Linked DNA regions of Alligator mississippiensis. The protein of the gene in region 1 binds, or shares a complex with, the protein of each later gene. Links are inferred from orthologs where the notes say so. Each region holds a gene or a part of one and is shown on either strand. Other genes may lie near its edges.

The links.
Region 2: the proteins of ACTR2 (region 1) and ARPC5L are in contact, whole or in part, in a cryo-EM structure (PDB 6YW6), measured with the Homo sapiens proteins. The link is inferred for Alligator mississippiensis from reciprocal best matches to the Homo sapiens genes ACTR2 and ARPC5L. Residues at the interface, in NP_005713.1 of Homo sapiens: Tyr225, Glu263, Phe266, Gln267, Arg319, Lys322, Gln323, Ser338; in NP_112240.1 of Homo sapiens: Arg11, Arg12, Val13, Asp14, Ile15, Asp16, Glu20.

Annotation. Positions count from the first base shown.
Region 1 is NC_081824.1:214,971,095-214,981,504, forward strand, and holds the start of ACTR2 (actin-related protein 2), read left to right. Parts: upstream 1-5,973; 5' UTR 5,974-5,988; coding exon 5,989-6,069; intron 6,070-10,410. Other genes in the region: N(4)-(Beta-N-acetylglucosaminyl)-L-asparaginase, read right to left, coding at 1,548-1,686, 3,483-3,594. UniProt on the Homo sapiens protein: ATP-binding component of the Arp2/3 complex, a multiprotein complex that mediates actin polymerization upon stimulation by nucleation-promoting factor (NPF).
Region 2 is NC_081835.1:66,433,531-66,442,852, reverse strand, and holds the start of ARPC5L (actin-related protein 2/3 complex subunit 5-like protein), read left to right. Parts: upstream 1-4,673; 5' UTR 4,674-4,757; coding exon 4,758-4,901; intron 4,902-8,653; coding exon 8,654-8,725; intron 8,726-9,322. Other genes in the region: PPP6C (serine/threonine-protein phosphatase 6 catalytic subunit), read left to right, coding at 1-21, 576-717, 2,028-2,107, 2,276-2,485, 3,105-3,353. UniProt on the Homo sapiens protein: May function as component of the Arp2/3 complex which is involved in regulation of actin polymerization and together with an activating nucleation-promoting factor (NPF) mediates the formation of branched actin networks.

The DNA.
Region 1 (10,410 bases):
AGGATATACTCAACCTAGACAGTCCAAATTAGTGCTGTACTGTGTTTCCCCTAAATTTTCCTGTTTATAAGTTTTTCTTTGACAGACTTATCTGCTCTAGATCCTTTGACCATAAAAGAGCTGTCAGTTCCTTTCATATCATTTAGAGTTCAACTAAGCCACCTATTAGTAGGATTCCGCAAAAAATACATTGTTTCTTTAACAGGGCTCGTGGATTTTTATGCAGTTACTTGGTTAAAATTGAGGACCCATTATTCTCTACTGATGGTGTAGCAGTGGAAACACTACTAAGCATAGAGAAAGCTCAGACCCTTTTTATTCTGGGTTGTCTAAACCTATTCTGCATCTTTATCACTGTAGCAATTCCTGACACTCCTTACTACTTGAATCATTTTTAACAACAGAGCTGCACTCATTATAAGTTACACATCCCTATTTTCCTATTACAGATGTGTTCATTCTTTTTCTTCTCATATTTTAAATACACTTGTGAATGTGAAGTCAGGCTCCAGCTGAATTAAACTGGTAAAAAAAACCCAACTTTAAAATGTCATTCAGTTCAGAACACATTCCTTCCTGCATTATACCTGTCCTATAACGAAACATAAGAATCCCATAAGACCACTCAATAACCATCAGCAGTAGTTAGCACCAAATATAGCAATGGATTTTAATTGCTATGCTGTACTATACACCCGAGGTCCTCCTTAACAGACCTATTTCCATTACAGAACTTGCATCCTGTTGATGTCTAATCTTACTTGCTGTGTCAGATTAACAAAATTAATTGGTTACTGGTGTATTACATGCCAGGTTTCAACATTACCGTCTTTACACAAAAATGTTTTCAATTACTCTGTTATGAATTAGAGCATGGCTTTCTTCCTTAGTAGCCCAATTACTGGAAAAACTGTCATTTACGAAAGTCATGGGGGCAATGTTACTAAGATGGACAAAAGATCATTTGCATATTTAAAATGACCTAGTTAATATACAGCACTTGTATTAGTTAATGCATTAGTGTTTTACATTAAGCACATGAGGTTGGAAATCTAGCTTACCTCAGTTGGACCATACTTTGCCATTATAAAACAATCATTGAAAATTACTGGAAGCTTGCATGAAAATTAGTTGCAGGATATGACCCAATGGAAAATAAACGTGTGTAGCACTTTCATCCCCTTACCTCAAGCATTTTACAAATGTGGGATAAGTCTTTGTTTGTGGGATAAGTTTGTAGACAAAGAAATTGCCAGGTCAAATGACTCATCCAAGGTTGTGTATGTTAGTCAACTGCAGACCAGGCAATAGAGCCCAACTCTTGTGCCTATCAAACCAGTGTCCTATCTACAGGACCACAGTGTAAAACAAGTCAGATGATTTCAGTTTAGTTAATATTTCAGGCTTGATAGGAGGCTTCCACTGCAATTGCTTATTGTGCTTTATCCAGCAATGCAAATCCCTCACTTTTATGGACATGAAACCTTTCCACATACTTATAAAAATCTATGCATGTTGCCGCAGGTAGATTAAAGCACATTACGTACCCAGACAGAGCCGCTACTGCTCCAAAATGACAAGAATGCCCTTCCATTACAGCAGCATCACACTGGATTAATCCATCTTTGTTTGGGTAGCCTCCTCGTCCTACTACATAACTCCCTGTCTCCTCATCATTTTCAATAGCTGGAGATAAGTAAAGTTTAAAAATAGTTAAGCGTTAGACCCAAGTTTCCATTTTTTAAAAATCCGAGTGCTTCCCAAAATCCCATTAAGAAATTGAACAGTACAGAAGGGTCAAAACGAACACTATTTATGGGGGACTGACATACGCATATGAAAGAGTGACCTACATCCCCCAGGCTGTACCCCATGTCTACAGATAGGCACCCCACATCCTGTTACAATGGGGAAGCGGGCACCCCCACCCCATTATGCAGTGCCGTGCCTCACCGACAACTCCCTGTGGACTTTTTGGAGGCACTTTGTCACAACAGGGCTCTGGGCTGCTAGCTCCCCTGACACCACAGGTTGTGGGGGAAGGTTAAGCTGGACTGTATCATGTCCTTTGTCCCCCCTGGGGGTAGGTCAGGCAGTGGAAACTGGGGGAGGGGAAGCCCCAAGATCCCATCTGATATAACAGGGGCAGCAACGACCTAGTGGAAGTCTGGGGTAGCACCATACCTAGACTCATTGTGGCCCCGGGCAAACTCTTCATCAGCGATAACAACAACAACAACAGGAAAACGGGGAAAAATTACCATTTTGGGCCCCATATCTGTCCAAGCCCCGGGCAGCTGCCCAGTTCACCCATGCCTGTGTCTGGCCCTGGTCTGCGGGCTGCTTGTGAACCCTTCCCAAACCATGTGCAGCCCATGGACTGCCAGCTGGACAGCCCTGCCATAAACAAAGGAATTGTGCTCAAGTGCCTTTGGCTACATTGAAGTAAAAGACATTTGTTCTAACATTAGGTAGCACCAGCGATACAGGAATTATCCAAAAAGCCGAACAGCATTTCTGTAGCCTCATTTCAGTTGATGGGAAATTTGGATACACAAGCAAAGCAGTTGAAAAGCAAAGCAGTTCTGGGCCAAAAAGACAGGAAACTCGATAAGAGCTCTGTCTGTCTGTTTCTTTAAAGAAATAAACACCTGTTTACTCAGAAGGGGACAGAAACTGGCAAGGGAAGGGGACTGATGGGGGCTCCAGTCAGCCTGGAAAAGTAACAACTGCCCCAAAACAGTACAGGGTACTTGACCATGTATTTTTTTAACTCCATGAGGGCAGACACTTGAAGTCCTGCCACTTTTATACACAATGTGCCTTAAGTTTGTGTTGATGGATGCAAGGTCACGAGACAAACAAACTATGCTGGGATGCACGCAGAGCAGGGGCTCTCACCCTTCCCAGACTCAGGGCAACATTCAGAAAATGCCAGCTCTTCATTTTCACTCATGTTTCCACAGCCGCTGAGCTGAAGCCTTTGGAGAGCCCCCAGCAGGACACAACAGATTTAAAACCGCTGGCTTGAAAACTCAGGGTTTCTCTTAGGAATCAGGGGCAGATCCAAAGGGGGGGTGGGGGGGGGTGTATTAGTGCATCTGTGCCCCCCACTTTTGACCCCTGCTCCACTCCAAGCTTAAAACCATGCACTTAGCAGCAGCATTTCTAGCCAGGTAAAGCTGAGGGAGCCACTTGACTTCCCGGAGCCGCTCCCCTCCAAGCGCTTCACTCTCGGGTCGTTAACGTCTGTCCGCGCCCGTGGAGCGCTCCCACGTCCCGCCCGTGCGGCGCGCCCGGCCCCTCCCGCTGCGCCTGCGCCTCCTTCCTTCCCAGGAGCGGGCGGCGTCCAGTGGGGCTTTCCTCCGACCCCGCGCGGCCCATCCCCACAAGTCCAGCTCCCATTGCTTTTTAAAGGGGAAAAAACCAAACAACAACCAGGTGTTAACCCCTCAGCGCTGCTGCACGGGGTCTCCCCTCACCTGCCATGGCTTCCTGCACGCAGTCCGTGGCGTCCGCGCCTCGCAACAGCAACTCCCGCATCTTGCGCAGGGCGGGCAGTGAGAAGGCCCAAGTGCCCGCGGCCGCCGCCATGGCAACGCCTCGTGGAGTGGGGGGAGGGGGCGAACATGCCGACCGGCAAAAAAAAAAAAAAAAGGTGGGAGAGAGGGGGAAAACCGACGGGCAGAGCGCTGATTGGCTGGCGGCGGCCTGTCAGTCACGGCGCGCCAAGGGCGGAGCTAGAAGCGGTGGCTTCCGGTGTGTGCGAGGCCGGCGGTTGAGTGGGGCGATTGGCCGGGCGCGGACATGGACACGCTGGGCAGGAAGGTGGTGGTCTGTGACAACGGCACCGGGGTGAGTGGCGGGGCCCGGCCCGGCTCGGCTCTCGTGGTAGCGCGGCCTGCTTCCTGCCGGGGCTCCGGCTCCCGTCCCCGCCCAGGGCTACCCCACCCCCGCCGCTGTATCGCGGCGCCTTGAGGCCCCAGCCCCGCTGCCCCACCCCCGCTCCGTGGTTACCCCGCCGTGGCGGCACTGCTTCCCCCCCCCCGGGCTGTAACGCAAGGCGGGGCTCCTCGGGGCCGGGCAGGCGGGAGTGGGGCGGGGCGCACGGGCGTGGAGGGCGGTGTTCCTTCCCCGCCACTTCCGCGCCCGCCTGCGGCCGGCGGCGGGGACAAAGAGGGGGCGAGGGTCGGGCCTGCGAGCGGGGTCGTTGGGTGGTGGGAAAGGATCCGGCCGTTTTGGGATCCTGCGGCCTGATGGGTCCACAGAAGATGACTGTACTCAATTAAATGTACGTGAATACCCACACTTACAATTCGGAGGGGTCCACACATCCATTCTAAATTGTTATGGGGTCCGCAAATGAACAAAAGGTTGAAAACCACTGGTTTAGCACCTCTGCAGTTATTGGATGATGGTATTGTAGCCTTGCTAGGTCCCTTCTCCTTCTTGGGAACATTTAGAGAACTAAAGAAACTGACATTACCAAGGGAGGAAGAACTTTTGCATCAGGCAATTGGGGAAGTAATTTTTATTCAGACTTTCTTTTTTTTTTTTTTTAAAGTACTCCTTCCCCTTAAATATATAATGCTGAAAGCTAAGGAGCACATGAGACACAGTGCATCTTTGCTGCTGTTTCAACACTGCTATTTTAAGACTTGACAACTCTCAATAAATAGCCAAGTTCCCTAAGAAAGTGCTTAAGGAAAAGAAATAATTTTCTATTTAATAGTGATAGGGCATGGAATCTTTAGGTCATCTTTATTTATTATAAAGAAAAAAGTAGTTTGCTGTTTTAGAATAATTATTACTAATATTTTTTCTGAGCTATGTAAGGCAGTGATGCTCAGTCTTTTGGTCCAATGGATCAAATGAGTGGTGTAGGGCTTGGTCATGGTCCCCTGCACCAGGATTGGGCCCTACAGTACCTCTGCCCAGCCCACACACCTGGATTGGGTCATATACAGACTTGCATGGCCCCTGTGTCATCCCTGCCTGACCACATACATTAGGATTGGGCCCCACGCTGCTGTATATGCCTAAATCAGCATGCAGGGCTCCTCATGGAAAATTTGGCCACTACTTTGTTGCCACCAAATTTTTGGACCCACAGGGGGTCCTGCAGGCTGGCTAACATGGCACCAGGGTTTAAATGTGGCCCATAGGCCAGGGATTGAATGCTCCTGAAGCAAGCAACAGCACCATTATTAGAATTTTAAAATTGCCTAATGAACCCAAGGATTTGACCATATAAACAAGAACTATTTTCAAATTATAGTACAGGTTTCCCTCACCAACCACGGTTTGATTATCCATGCTTTAGAGAAGCTGGGGGATGCAGTTGGAAAATACCCCCCATGCCCCTGGCCCTGCTTGTGACTCTCACTCCCCCCCCAACCCTACACCCCCCCCCTCCCCCCCCCCGGCCAGCCTTGCTGGTGCTCCTCACCCCCCACCCACAGCCCCTGTTCCCCCAGCCCTGCCAGTTTTGCCAACCACAGAAACTTTCAGGAACCTAACCCCCATGGTTGGAGAGGGAAACCTGTATAGCTATAGATCATACTTTAAATTATAGTATTTTCAACTTAAGTTTTATATATACTTATTGCAGACCTTTTGTTCATCTAATGTTAAATGCAGCCTCAGTCAGATTGCAATCTTTTTTTTGTTTTTGTTTTACAAAGAGCATCATAAGTGTATTCTCATGACACGTGATATAGGAAGAACTTTGAGAAATTCCATAGAAGCATTTTAAAATCTAGAACATTTAAGCTGCATGTTCTGTGCTTTTCTAGGGCAAATGGCAAATTACTGTAGGCTTGGAATTTTGTCCTAATTATATTTAGAATTCTTTTGTCTGAGTTGCATAACAGTATTTTACCAGGGAGACATAAGATTGTTCAGTATGAAACTTGTCATTAAAACAGGTTTGTGAGCAGATGTAGATGGTGTTCTTATTTTTGTTTAAAAGGAATATCTTTAGCCTGCATGTTCTTACCACTTGATGACTCAGTAGGAAGTGAGAGAAGTCATTTCAACCACAATGCTATGAAGAGGAAACTATATATGGTAAAATAATCTCTTACACACGGTATCTTGCACAGATCAAGCAAACTAAGAAGCTGTTCTTAATACGCTCTCTTGGATTATAAGGTGCAACCTTTACAACTTGCAAAGATGTGGGGGGGATTTCAGTGTCAAGTTCTTCACTATGTAAAGACGGATGCAGTCACGTATTTAAATGTTAAGAATCTGTTGCACCATGCTGAATTCAGATGACTGGTACCTCAAGGAGTACATACATGATGATGTGGTGCATCAGGATTTGTGCCATTGTTAAGGTTTTATGAGAGAGTTCCAGTTTCACAAGAGTGGTGAATACTGGGTATTTAAGCATTAGTAAAATCAAAATTGATTATAATTCTTGATCAGGTTACCTTAAGGGGGGGAGGGGTGTGCCCTCTATTATATAACGTGATGCTCTTGGAGAGATAATAATCTTTGGGGAAACTAAGTGCCTGCCATCTTTTCTTGGGCATATTTGACTTTTTTTCCTCCTCCTTTGTAGTCTTTTTATCAAGAAATCTAAAATGCCCTGGGATCTGTCCTTTTGTCACGTTCTTGCTGTTTGCATTTTGTGCATCAGTTATTGGTTGCTGGTGTGACACAACTTCTCAGCTGGAAATCGCAAACATGTACCAGTCTGAACCACTTGAATCTTACTTGATGATACAAAGTGATAATGGAATTTATATTATTTCGTTTCAAGGGCAGCTGAAAAATGAGGCTGACTTTGGTCATTTATCCCATTCACTAAAGTTCCCTGCCCACTATGAACCTGGGGACAGGGAGCTTCCTAATCTGGGTAAGAGGAGACCAGAAGTTAAAGCATTCTCTCTTCTGTATACCCTTCTAGTTCCTGTGGCACCTGGTAAAAAATTATCAGTGGTAACTGTGGTAAAAATTATCAATGCTGTCAGCCAACACTAACTTAAAAAAAGAGGTGGAAGTAATCAGTTTCTGAACATTCTCATCTTCCCATTTTCTCAAAACGTTAACAGAACACTTAAGATCACTTCCCAGAACAGTGCCTAAAATGGTATATCTCAGTCCTACCATTACACCATCCTGTCTTTCAGAATATCTAAATCATTTTGATGTTCTCTTCTCTCTAACCACTGTATGCCACAGATCCAGGGAGTGAATCCAGAGGTCTCTGATTGCCTTTCTTTTGCTTACTCGACAGTAGCCATTCAGTTTGCTGGGAAGAGGCATGTCAGGTTGTTCTGTAGTGGCTGATATAGGAAAAAGCCAGCAGATATTGTAAAGGTTGTTCACACTGAAGTTTGAAAAGTGCAAACTAATATACAAGTTATTCTGGTGTATGTGGTTCATATTTAACTGTTGGCCTGTCGCTTCGGATTCAGCCGATTCAGGGGACAGTGATTTGAATCACTGCCCAAATCACCTGAATCAAATTGGCATCTGAATCAAACAGCTGCTGCCGCCGCTCCCCCCCCCCCTCCCCGGCTCTCCCAGCCCTGTCAATGGCTGCCCTGCCTGGCCCCAGCCTCCCAGCTCTTCAAAAAAAAAAAAAAAAAAGCCCAGGGCACTCACCAGCTGTTGCCAGGCAGGGGGTTGATCCCTGCTGCTCCCCACTGCCCGATGATGGGTGGGGGGCTCTGTCATGAGCCCCCATCCCCTACCCACTCTCCCAGCCCCAGCATCCTAGCTCATCCTGGCTCTTAAAAAGCCCCCACTCGCTGGCTGCTGCCAGGCAGGGGGGCAATCCCTGCTGCCCCGTACTGTGTGGGAGGCTCTGCCATGAGCCCCAGTCCCCTCCCATGGCTGCCATGCCCACCCCAGTGTCAGGTCATTAAAAAACAAACAAACAGGGGGGTGGTCCCCAATGCCCCACGCTGCGTGGGGGCTCTGCCACAAACCCCCAGAAGCCCCAATGGCCACTGCAATAGCTGATAAGTGCAGGACATTTTCTTTAAAGAACCAGGAGCTGGGGCCAGGTGGGGCAGCCTTGGGGGAGGTCAAAGGGGGGCTGGGGGAGCAGGCAGGGGATGGGTCCCCATGCCACCTCTCTCCGCTTATCGTCTAGCTCCCTGTGGCAGTGAGCGGGGACTGCCTAAATCTCCAAAGCTCTCTGAATCTTTTCTGAATCGATTCAGACCTTTTTTTTGGTCTCCTGATTCAATTAGGAGATTCAGCTGATGAATCAGGCCAAGTCTCCGAATCAAATTGGCACCTGAAGCTTCTCATGGCCATAAAAACTGTTACATTTTTCTGTTTATGTATTGGTATAAATGGAGCTGAACAACTGCAACTTAAAATTTGTTTTCTCTCTAGCTCAAATGAAGGAGGCTTAAAGTTATAGTGGTTTATCTTCGCTTATGCTGATATAAGAATGGACAGATATAAGTTAAATCAGAACAGCTGATGAACAGTCCAAAGTGTCAGTTAATCTCTCCCGTTTCAAGTGGTATTTGTCTACAGCCCTTTGAAATGTCATTAGATTCAAACGCTGGTTACTGCTGCATGTGATGGCCTAACTCCTCAACCAGTGCGCCAGAAAAGGGTATTTACCTTCTCAGTCCTCAAGGCATGTGAAACGCTGGCAGCTCAGATTGAGAGAGTCGCACTTAACACAAGCTGTAAAAACCATTCTGCTTTTTAAAGCATCCTGCGATAATGCATCTCAAGTTTCAGGTGTGCAGGTTATATTGTGAGGGAAGGAAAAAAGCAATAGACGCATCTGTGGATATAATGCTGCTGTTTTTGGTTTTGGCTGTATGCATCCAATTTCACAGATGTCCATGAGAAGCTATGAAATGTGTTGGGCAGTGAATGATACCTGCTCCTTCACGGAATTTCTCTCCAGCTGACTTAATTGCATTAAACCAGGAGAGTGGTACTTTTTAAACAGGGATAAAATATTTTATATGTTTACTTTTCTGGGGCATGCCAGCTGTATAAAAAGCTATGAACCCAGTGAACAAAGCTAGTGACAGTTCAGATTGGTGCAGGACCTTTAGAAGCATAGAGATAAGGGGAAAACATCATTTAAAAAAAATTAAGTTTTATGCTGCCCACGACATCATTGACACTAGACTCAGATGCTCCCTAAGGCTTTTTGCTTCATCTGTAACGGTAATGTTACCCCATTTTCATCAAGCCTACGCTGTTGCAAAACCTGGTATGTTGAGGCAGAATAATATTCTGTAACTTCACAAGTGCATAGGAAATGCGACAGTCCTGCTAATCTGTTGCTGTCTGTTGGATTGCAAGTTTTTTGGAGGGACTGTCTCTTTGGGGCATCCATAGGATCTTGGTCTATGATCAGGGGTCCTAAGCAATATAGTAATATTGTTTAACCAAAAGCAATATTGTGAGATTGCTGAGGTTTTGTGTATGGTACGAGTTTGGAGTAATAGACTTGTAAGGAGCTATTCCTCATTAATCAGTGCGCCCTGAGAGCACTTCAGGCTTTCTTAAATACCCTTTCTTAAGTGTAAAAACACACAAACAGATAGGTTTTGTGACTCTATCCAGTTCAGACCTAAAATAACTAGCGCCCCTTCCTTGCTGTCAGCAGGCACCACTTTCTTTTAGATGTAGATCAAATTTGAATAATTTCTAGATATTTGTGGTCTCAACACAAGCAGAAGGGATCACAAGAACTTGTCTTTCTAATTTATTTTATATTCCTGGAAAGCCTTCTCCTACTTGGAAATTAGTTTTGCCTTTTGCAGAGGAGACAAAAATATTAAGTAAAGCTCTTTCGTTCCTCAAACGTCAAAATGGGTCTATTGTTGGAGCTGACAAAATAAAAAAAAATAAGTGAAGCAAAAGAAAAGCGAGAGCAATCACAGGCAAAAAAAATACTTCCCCCTCTTGCTTTCCCATGGCAGGCCGTGGAATGAAAATTAGACTTGTTCACTAAAATGTTAGTGTTTACTTTGCCTAATAACCAACTCTGTGTGGACTTTGCTTGATGGGAGCTCTCCTGTGGACAGAGGCATGGGTATATCTTCAGTTTTTTAGTTGTAGTCCAGGGAATTTTAATTAAACTACCAGTTGGCTCTTTCCCATGACAAGTTTCATATCCTTTTTCTAAACAGAAATGCAGTAATGCATATACTACCATTTTTGATAGAGAGGTAGATTCCTCATTGTATTTTTAGAAAATCTCAGTTGATGTGAACTCCAGAGAAGCATGAATTAGTACACATGTGGAGCTATGGTAGTTATGGCCATCATCTTTATAGTCCAGTTCACAAATTGGGTAGAGAGAAACTTTGAGGGGGGAGGGAATGACAGGAGTGACATATGAAAACATGGGTATGCCATTACTAATCAATAAAGTAATTCATATTACCAGTAATAGGTTTACTGAGTTCA
Region 2 (9,322 bases), on another chromosome or scaffold:
GACACAAACTATATATTTATGGTATGTAAAAATTGTTGATCACGCAAAAGGTAATCATTTTTTAAAAATATACTGATCTAAAGGGGATTTCAGCTCTCTTTTGGTTTTCATTTTCATTTACAATTCTTGCTTGTAAACATCTTAGGCATGTGAAAAAGCTTTCCACTCTGTTCACCCTCTTTTCTGGTAACATGTAGCATTTGCTTTGTCCAGCAGAATTTGAAATATTCAGTGCTGGCTCTCCCAAAAGGAAATAAATTACAGCATTTGCTAAATAAAACCTGTAGTTCATGATACCAACAAAAAGGACATCCTGAATGTGTCTTAGAACATGTGCAACCTTATATGACCCGAAATATAGGAGCATAGGGGGAATATTTGTTTTCAGCTGTGAAATTTTGAATAATCTAAATCTTAGCTGGGAATTAAAGTAGTCTTCAGAGTTGATAAAACAGAGATGAAGACTGACATTCCGAGTCAGACTTTTTGGCAAATTGAGGCATTAGAAATAGATGCGTTACTATGTGACAAGTTGACTTGCTTTCTACTTATAAATTCGTACTTTCAATTTACAGGGTGACTTCGTAGACAGAGGTTACTATAGTCTCGAGACTTTCACCTACCTTCTTGCACTAAAAGCTAAATGGCCTGATCGTATCACGCTTTTACGGGGCAATCATGAAAGCAGGCAGATAACACAAGTGTACGGATTTTATGGTAAGACTGGTTAACAAGGCAGATCTTCCTTAGGGACATCTGATTTTTTTTTTTCCTGCTAGTGTATATAGCTTTCCTGTTGGCAGAGTGGGTTGTGGAAATGGGGTCCAGTCCCTGATCTTCCATAAAATTTTAAGCAGGTCTTCAGCTTTATTCCAATTTCACGGATACGTTGTATGTTAATCACTTGAGAATGCCGAGGCGTAATATTTGAAGTACTCTGGTATCTTGTAAAGTCCTATTAGAAAGCAAAATTAATATTGAGATTCTCATTAGACCTGGTTTTATTCTGTGTTGTCATAGTAACAAAAATGATTTACCTGGTAAGCTGTGAGTAGGGCAGTAAATGGACATTAAGGGATAGATGTTTCACCACTATTAAGCAACAGAGCCGCCACTTAAATATTGAGGGAGTAGATGCGCCTAGAAGTGACATCTCAGTTGCTGAAGTGACGGAGCCTGCAGCAGAGCCTTCAGGCACTAATAGCTGTTTCGGACAATGTGTAGTCCATAACGGGATGCATGTGACAGCAAGGACAAATGGGTCTGAATTTTGACATAGTGGCCTAAGATGGCAAAGGAATCCTTGCTTGCTAGGTACAGGTTGCCTAGAGCTGTTTTAAACCTAGTTCATTACAGCTCTACTGCAGGCTGTGTCTCCTCTCAATTTGGGCAGGAAAAGGATATTATGTAATTCAGCTGCCTGTGCAGATGGGCACACTGTGATCTTGTGGCAGTTAAAGGCAGTAGCAGAGGCTGTTCAGAAAGGGTTGTCTCAGCTTCTTACAGTGACTCTGTACCATAAATGTGGAAATAAAAGTTTCCCTTAAACAAAACACCCTCTCCAGTCTGTGCTCTGATGTGGCTCCTCTGGCAGATTTTGGAACTGGCTGTGGAGTTGAGGAATCAAAGCTGCTGTAGCTTGCTTCTTTTGGTCTGTATAGGCCAGATGCTTTTGATCAGTCCAGTATCTGACTTGTTTTCACTGAATAGCAATTGAGGCAGTCCAGTTAAGGCTTTTTTCAAAGTGAGCTTGAGTGGGTTGTGGGAAAGGGAGAAAACACTTTCAGTTATGTTGGCGCAGGGTCCAAGTCTCTGTATTGCCTGAGCATACAAGACACGATAAAACAGAGGCATAGAAGAAGCTGCAGATGGCTATGGGAAACATGCCTTCTCACTGTGGTCCAGTCAGTGTTCCTGCGTGATGGAGTGACCTATATTTAACTGTTTGAAATGTCAAGTTCTAGTTGAAATTTTCAACGGTTTTTTTTTCCACATTCAGGCAGTAAAACAGGTTCTCTCTTTAACAGATGAGTGCCAAACCAAATATGGAAATGCTAATGCTTGGAGATACTGTACCAAAGTGTTCGACATGCTCACAGTAGCAGCTGTAAGTTTTATGCTCATTTTGAGAAATATTAAGCATGGCTTGTTTCTTTAGACATCTCTCTCAAGCAATTGAGAGTAGTCTTTCACTGTTCCCTTGCAGTGTGCTGTGTCAGATTGAAGGGAGAAGTAAGGCTGTGCCATACCTGACACCGTGTCCTTTTTCCTTCAGTTAATAGATGAGCAGATTCTCTGTGTACATGGTGGCCTATCTCCCGACATCAAGACACTGGATCAGATTCGAACCATTGAACGTAATCAAGAAATTCCTCACAAAGGAGCCTTCTGTGACCTGGTCTGGTCTGACCCAGAGGATGTTGACACCTGGGCAATTAGTCCCCGAGGAGCAGGCTGGCTGTTTGGTGCAAAGGTCACAAATGAGGTAAAAGCATCGTGAAGTAGAATGTAGAAGTGCTGACACCTGGTTAGCTAAAATGTTTACCCTCAAGCGTGTGCAGGTAGAGTTGTATGATTTCCCCGTGTACAGTGCAGCTGTCTCAGACAGAACAGTAATTCACTTAAAGTTTTGTACACCATTGCAGTTTACTATTGGACAGTATTAAGTACTAGACGTACCTCACTAAGAGCCTTTCCAGCTTTTAAAACCAGTGGTATTCCCACTGCCAAGTACGCAAAGTGGTGTTTTCCTTCTCAAAATGAGCTGTCTTAGCTTCTGCTTCTGTTACTGTTGGTTATGATTGTTTACCCTTTGTTAACTAGTTCCTTAACCAGTCTCTCAGTGGCATGAAAAAGGATACCTATCTCATTATCTCAGAGGAGTCTGAGGCACAACTAAGGAGTCTTTAATGAATTTTATCTACAGTAAAACTAGCAGTGATTCCTGCTGACAATTATGTGCAGGTTTGCAAAGCGAACCTCTTCATTAAGTGGGATACTTGTTTGCCCTTAAGATACGTTGCTCTAAGTGGCAGAGCTGCCGTATAAAGAGCATCTCTGACTCTTGCATACGTTTACACGCCTTTTCTTTCTTTCTGTTACAGTTTGTTCATATCAACAACTTAAAACTCATCTGCAGAGCGCATCAGCTAGTGCATGAAGGCTATAAATTCATGTTTGATGAGAAATTGGTAACAGTATGGTCTGCGCCGAATTACTGCTACCGCTGCGGAAATATTGCATCAATCATGGTCTTTAAAGATGTAAATACAAGAGAACCAAAGCTATTCCGTGCAGTTCCAGACTCAGAACGTGTAATTCCTCCTAGAACAACTACACCGTATTTCCTTTGAGATCTTTTCCCGTCCTGCTGTTTCCCCCCATTCCCTTGTACTATCCCTCTACAATATACTTTTTATTGAGCACTTTGCTGCTGAAATGCTGCCTCTTGCCTTTTTTTATTTTTAAATTATCTAAATTTATTGTGTATGATGGAGTCTGTAGCGAATATACCTTGATTTCCCCACCCTGGATCAAATTGAGAATGCTTGTGAAATGTCCTCACCATTTACACTGCTGCATATAGTTCTTGTATATTTCTGGTTGTAGGTGAAATGTTTTCCCTCTTTAAAAAAAAAAATAAAAAAAAGTCATAAATGCATTGGGACTATTTGGATAGCCCACTATGTCATTCAACGTTTTGTTTGGTAAGTTTTAAGAAATTTCAGCAGCAAAGTTACCTGGTGTGCACGATGGGACTGTAAATGCGTTGTGTACACATCTCCAAGGCGTAAAACTGAATTTGTCCTTGTTATATCTTGTTTTAAGTGGATATGAAATAAAGTGGTCTAAAGGGCTGTTCCCTCTTGTTTTTTTAGGATTCCAATTAAAATAGAAAGAACGTGCTACAGCTATTGAATTTGTACATTAAAATAATTGTTCTGATTTTTTCAGATACCTTGTATTTTTAATAAAGTCATATCTTAAATGAAATCCACCTCCTAGGTTAAATATTGCAAATAAAAATCCTGCATTGTTGATGTGAACGTCCGTCCTTTTCCGTCTCGAGAGCCGCGTACCCCGTTGGTTGGTTCGCTCGCGGGGAAGCGATCCAGCCACCGCGGCTCTGCTCCGAAACGCGACCGTGCCAAGAGCGGCAGCTGCGTCTTTCTAGGCGTGCGGGTCCCGCGACGTCCCGTTGCCGTTCTCGTGAGCAACCGCAGCTCCTGGCGCGCGAGGCTGGGTCCTGGTCTGGCCCAGGCGGCCTCGTCCACGCACGAAAGACACGACCGAGCTGGTGGCTGGCAGTCGGGGGGCCGTTTTACACGCTAACCGCAGTGTTGCATAGACGTGGCGGCGGGTGACGCGTGTACCGTTACGTGTCGGAGAACCAAAGGGCCCGTGGTGACGTGACACGCCACGCCACGCCACGCCACGCGCTTGGGACCCTGGTTGCAAGCCTGGGGGGGGGGGAGTAGCTTCAGTCCCGGGTAGAAACCTCCATGCCCTTCGCTCCTGTGACAAGTGACGTCGGGGGGCGGTTCTGGGGCCAGCCCTCTGCTCGGGTCGTGACCCGCCCACCCGGAAGTGCCGCCTCGCCTCGCTTCCGGCCCGCCTCTCGCCCTCCCCTTCTGACGGAGCTTCCTGTTCCGGCCGTCCCGGAAGCGGCGCGGCGCGGCGAGGCGAGGCGAGGCGCGGTGCGGCGCGGAGCGGGCCGGGCCGGGTGGGCCGCGCCGCCCCTAGGCCGCCGGCCCGGCATGGCCCGGAACACGCTGTCCTCGCGCTTTCGCCGCCTCGACATCGACGAGTACGACGAGAACAAGTTCGTGGAGGAGCCGGACGAGGCGGCGGCGGCGGCCGAGCCCGACCCCGGCCCCGAGGTGGAGGCGCTGCTGCGGCAATATCCTTCCTTCCGGCGGGCGAGCGGGTTGGGGGCCGGGCCCTCTCCTCTCCTCTCCTCTCCTCCAGTGCCGGGCGAGCAGGCGCCCGGCCGCATCCTCCCAAGGGAAAGGGGCGACCGGGGACCCGGCCTCGAAACGCAGATTCGTTTCTGGTCAACCTAAAACCCCCGCCCCCTCGCTGGGCAGGGCCGCCGCCTCTCGCTGCGCCCAGGCCCGGGCAGGCGGGGACCGGGGGGAAAAGCGCAGGGGTGTAGGTGTAGTTTGCACTGTACGGTTGGAGGGGGGGGGATCCCGCGACGTCCGAAACGGGCTGAGAAGCCGCGGGGGGCCCGGGTCTGTGTCGCGACGCGGACGGGGCTGTTCGTCGCTGCTGGATCTCGCGGCCCGTTACGAACCGCTGCCCCGCTCGTCTCCTGCCTGCGGCCGGTGATCTTGCGAGGTCGCCTCCAGCCCCCGACGCCTGCGAACCGAGGCGGCGCCCGACCCTCGGTTTTTATAGCGGCTGGAAAGGCGCTTGGTTCGTGATTTAGGCACAGCTGCCGGCCGCCCCGGTAAACCACCCAGAATTAATTCGGTCACAAACGGGGGTTGCGAGCGGCGGCGGACGGGGAGCCTCGTATAGGACGAGCCCGTTCCGTCGCCTCGCCCCGTTTCTGAAACCGCCTCCCAAGTAGGACGGCGTGTGTGGAAATATGCCACTTGTGCCAAACTGATGTCAAGGTGCTTAAAATAACTCTGCTGCCGCCGTCTGCGCTGGGACCTAACCCAGATCGCTCAGCAGATGAAAGCGAAGCGGCTCCTCCGCTGCGCGCTCTGGAACGAAGCCTCGTGTCCGCGCGGGGGGGAGAGAGCAGGATCCTAACGACCGGGGAGGGCCGGCGGGAGAGAGAGCGCCTGTAGCCTTCTGCCTCTCGGGTTCATTTTGGGGTTTGCAGATCTCCTTTTTTAAGCACAGATTGATTGGGTGGGAGGGGGGCGTGGAGGAGTGTTTGGTGGCTCAAGAGGCTGATAATTTCCACCCGCAAAAAAGCACATCTAGCTTAGAGATGCTATTTATGTGCCTCGCTGACGTCACCGCTTGGCCTCTTCACTGCAGCTGTGAAAAGGGACTAGTGTGCTGTGGGATTGCCCGAAGGGCTGGATCAAGACCCACCAAGCAGCCCTCGGATGTGGGTTACTCTTAGTGTCTGCTGGATTCAAATCAGCGATAGCAAGGTGAAAAGCACTGGATCTTATTGTCAGTGTTTGGAGCCATCGAGTTCTTAAATAAGATCCCTTCAGTGTAAAATGCTTGGAGTTACTTCAGATGCTCTGATTAGCAGCGAAACGTGTAACATGACTTGATCCTTTTTCCTGATCAGAATTCAGCGGACGCTGTCACTCCGGCCTTATTCCTTGCTAAGTCAGTTCATTCAAGAAGTAATCCTGGCTGAGAGAGTGTCTGGAGGAACACGTCCCTGACTATTACAGGGCAGGCTTGGTTGGTTTGTTTTCTGTGCATGGTTTTGGGTTTGATAGATTGGCAATAGCTTGGTATTCAGGGATGGGCTATAAATAGTTTAATCATCACCCTTCTGTGGCCTTGTATTTTAAGCAGAGGGGAAAGAAAAATAGCTAATCCTTCGAGGCTTCCTGTTAGAGTTGTCAGCAATGCAGACTGCTTCTGGCCATCCTCTGTTCTCGTTATTTGGCATTCTTGGAAGTGAGCAAATCAATTTAAAAAATCCATGTTCCTACCTCCTCCTCCTCCAAGTATGCTGCTGTGTCGCAGTTCCACAGCCTAGTTTATGGGTACTTGAGACCAAGGACTTTCTGCTGTCAGGGCTGTCTGTACATTTTGTAGTGAGTGACAAGGTTTCTGTTTCTGTAACAGTGAAGCCTTGTCAGCTTAACTGACAAAGGATGTTCTGTCAACCTGAACTGCTTTAAAAATTACAAATGAAGAGGAAGTTGACCTTGAAGCAAAATGAATGCTTGCTTGTAATTCATGGTCTGCTGAAGGGCTCTCGCAGTCTTACTTTTGCTACGTGGTTTTGTGGCTTAGACTCATAGAAAAATAGGGCTGGAAGGGACCTCAGGAAGTGTCCGGTCTAACGTCCTGTTCAAAGCACAGTCATCTCTGCCTAAACCATCCCAGCCAAGTATCTGTCTAACCTGCACTTAAAACGTCCAGAGATGGAGATCCCACCCCTGCTCCAGGTAGCCTGTTCCAGAGCGTCACCACGCGCAGTGAGAGACTGCCAGTGTCCAACCTACACTTCCCTTGCTGCAGTTGAGACCAGTGCTCCTTGGCCTGTCCCCTGGAGAAGTCTGTTTGTGGTGGTGATTCCTTTAGAACCTGATTAGCTTTGTAATGGTGTGTGTAACTGCCCAGTAAGCGTAGCAGCTGTCTTGTCCACCTGGCACGTCCTACTACAGTTTGTAGCACAAGAAAATTGCACATTTTCATTTGCAGAGATCGGGATATCAAGTGTTCCTTCCCGTGGGGGATAGTGACAGAAATGCATGCTGTCGTCTTCAGCTCTATTCCTGCAATAGAATACTTTATTCTGTTATATATCTTTGCTTTAGGAGATGTATTTAATCACATCTCCTATGAGGTAGGCCACATTTCTTGTGCTGTGTGTTATCTGAATACTTGGAGGTAACTTTTTTGTTTTTTTAGTTTCTCCAGCTGCCCAGTGGCACACCTGCCACAGCAGAGGGTTGTTAATTCTCAGTGTCTGTCCAAGGTACTTCCATCTCTCCTGGAGATAAGGAGTTGAACTGCCTGACACATCCAAACATATATTATACATCTATTCTATTATGTACCTACTATTTCCCCTTCAGGGCATTTGGATATCTGTCTTTACTGTGGATTTCAAGTTTATATGTCCATGTGTCAGGGTGGAAATAACATCTGAGCTAAAGATCTGTAGTGAAGTCTGAGGTTTTAGTTGTAGATTTTTAATTTTTTTTTATGAACAAATTCCTTTAAGCTCATAAATGGAACTATCACCTTGACAATGATCTTTCCTTCTGGATATGTTATGCTCATGCTTAACTCTGGACATATCTTTTAACATTTGTTTTTCTTCTGACCTTGAAAGCCTAAATCCACTTTGCAAATTCTAGCTGTAGGAGGTGTGGCCCTGATGCTGGATGTGTGTCTTACTCACAGAAAGAATTGGGAAATCTTTCTGGATTGTGTGTTCAGGTTACAAGGTCCCTGAAGAACTAACTCCCTTTGGCTGTTTTAGGATTTTGGTGTCTGTAGAATATTAATTCTGCTCCTCATTAAGTAATGCAATGTTTGCAACGAGTCAGGGTAGCCCAAAGGTCAGGGTGACATTCATCCATTATGGTTAAATCCTGAACGATTGGAAAAAGTAAAGGAGGGTCTGCTGACCTTGACTTGAGTTTCCCGGTGGCTGTCACTTCCTTTCCTCATGATGCACTTGCTGGCATTTTCCTGTTGCACCATCTTTGGAAATCAGCTCTGCTCTGTTATTCCAGAATATGCTATGAAGACATTTGGAGTACTCAGAAGCCTATATTCCTGGTTGTAACTACATTAAAATGAGGGTTAGGATTGTCTTAGCAAAGGGAATGGTTGCTGCAGTTTGTCCTTTCTTCCTGTTTAGCTGCTCTTAGGAGATGGTGATGTGTTGCAAAATCCAGTGCCACGCGTTCTGGACTGTCCCTTCTAGAGTCATTAATAATTAAAGAATAACTAAACGACTTGCATCCTTGACTTGCTGTGCTGCACAGGCGATATGCTCCGAGCTTTCCACATGGCCTTAAGGAATTCTTCGGTTAACACGAAGAATCAAGCAGTAAAGGTAAATGAGGCCTTTGGGCTTTTCCATCCTCTTTCAGTGTTGGCATATGGGTCCCTAGCGATTCGGCAGTGGATTGCTGGGATACTTCAGAACAGTGGCTGCTTTCTCAAAATACGAGTAGCTGGTCATCAGTACCGTAGTGTGGAACTGTTTGTGAACTAATGAACATATGCTATGATTCCCAATTAGTAACACTTCTCATGCCGTATCTGCACCTTTCCTGTGCAACCTTAAAGACAAAAATAATTTTGAGAAGCTTTCCAAGACAATTAGGGCTTCTCTGACAATGTGCACGCAGCGGTATGATGGCAGGTTCATACACAGTCAGAGTCTGTGTGCCACAGTACATTTGATGTCCCACTGGCTCCAGTTCCATGGGTAGGAGGGGGGTAAGAACCAACATGCAGAGACAAACGGCAGGTGAGTCAAAGGGCAGCAGTCCCATGACATGCCAAACTCCTGACACTCAAAAGAGGTAAGGGCTGGCGGGATGTGCCTGAAACCACATCTGTGTGGATTTTGTAATGTGCTATATCAAATATATTTGACCTTAATTGTGGGGAGCTTGCTGCTACAAGCCTGAATCCACTGACCCAG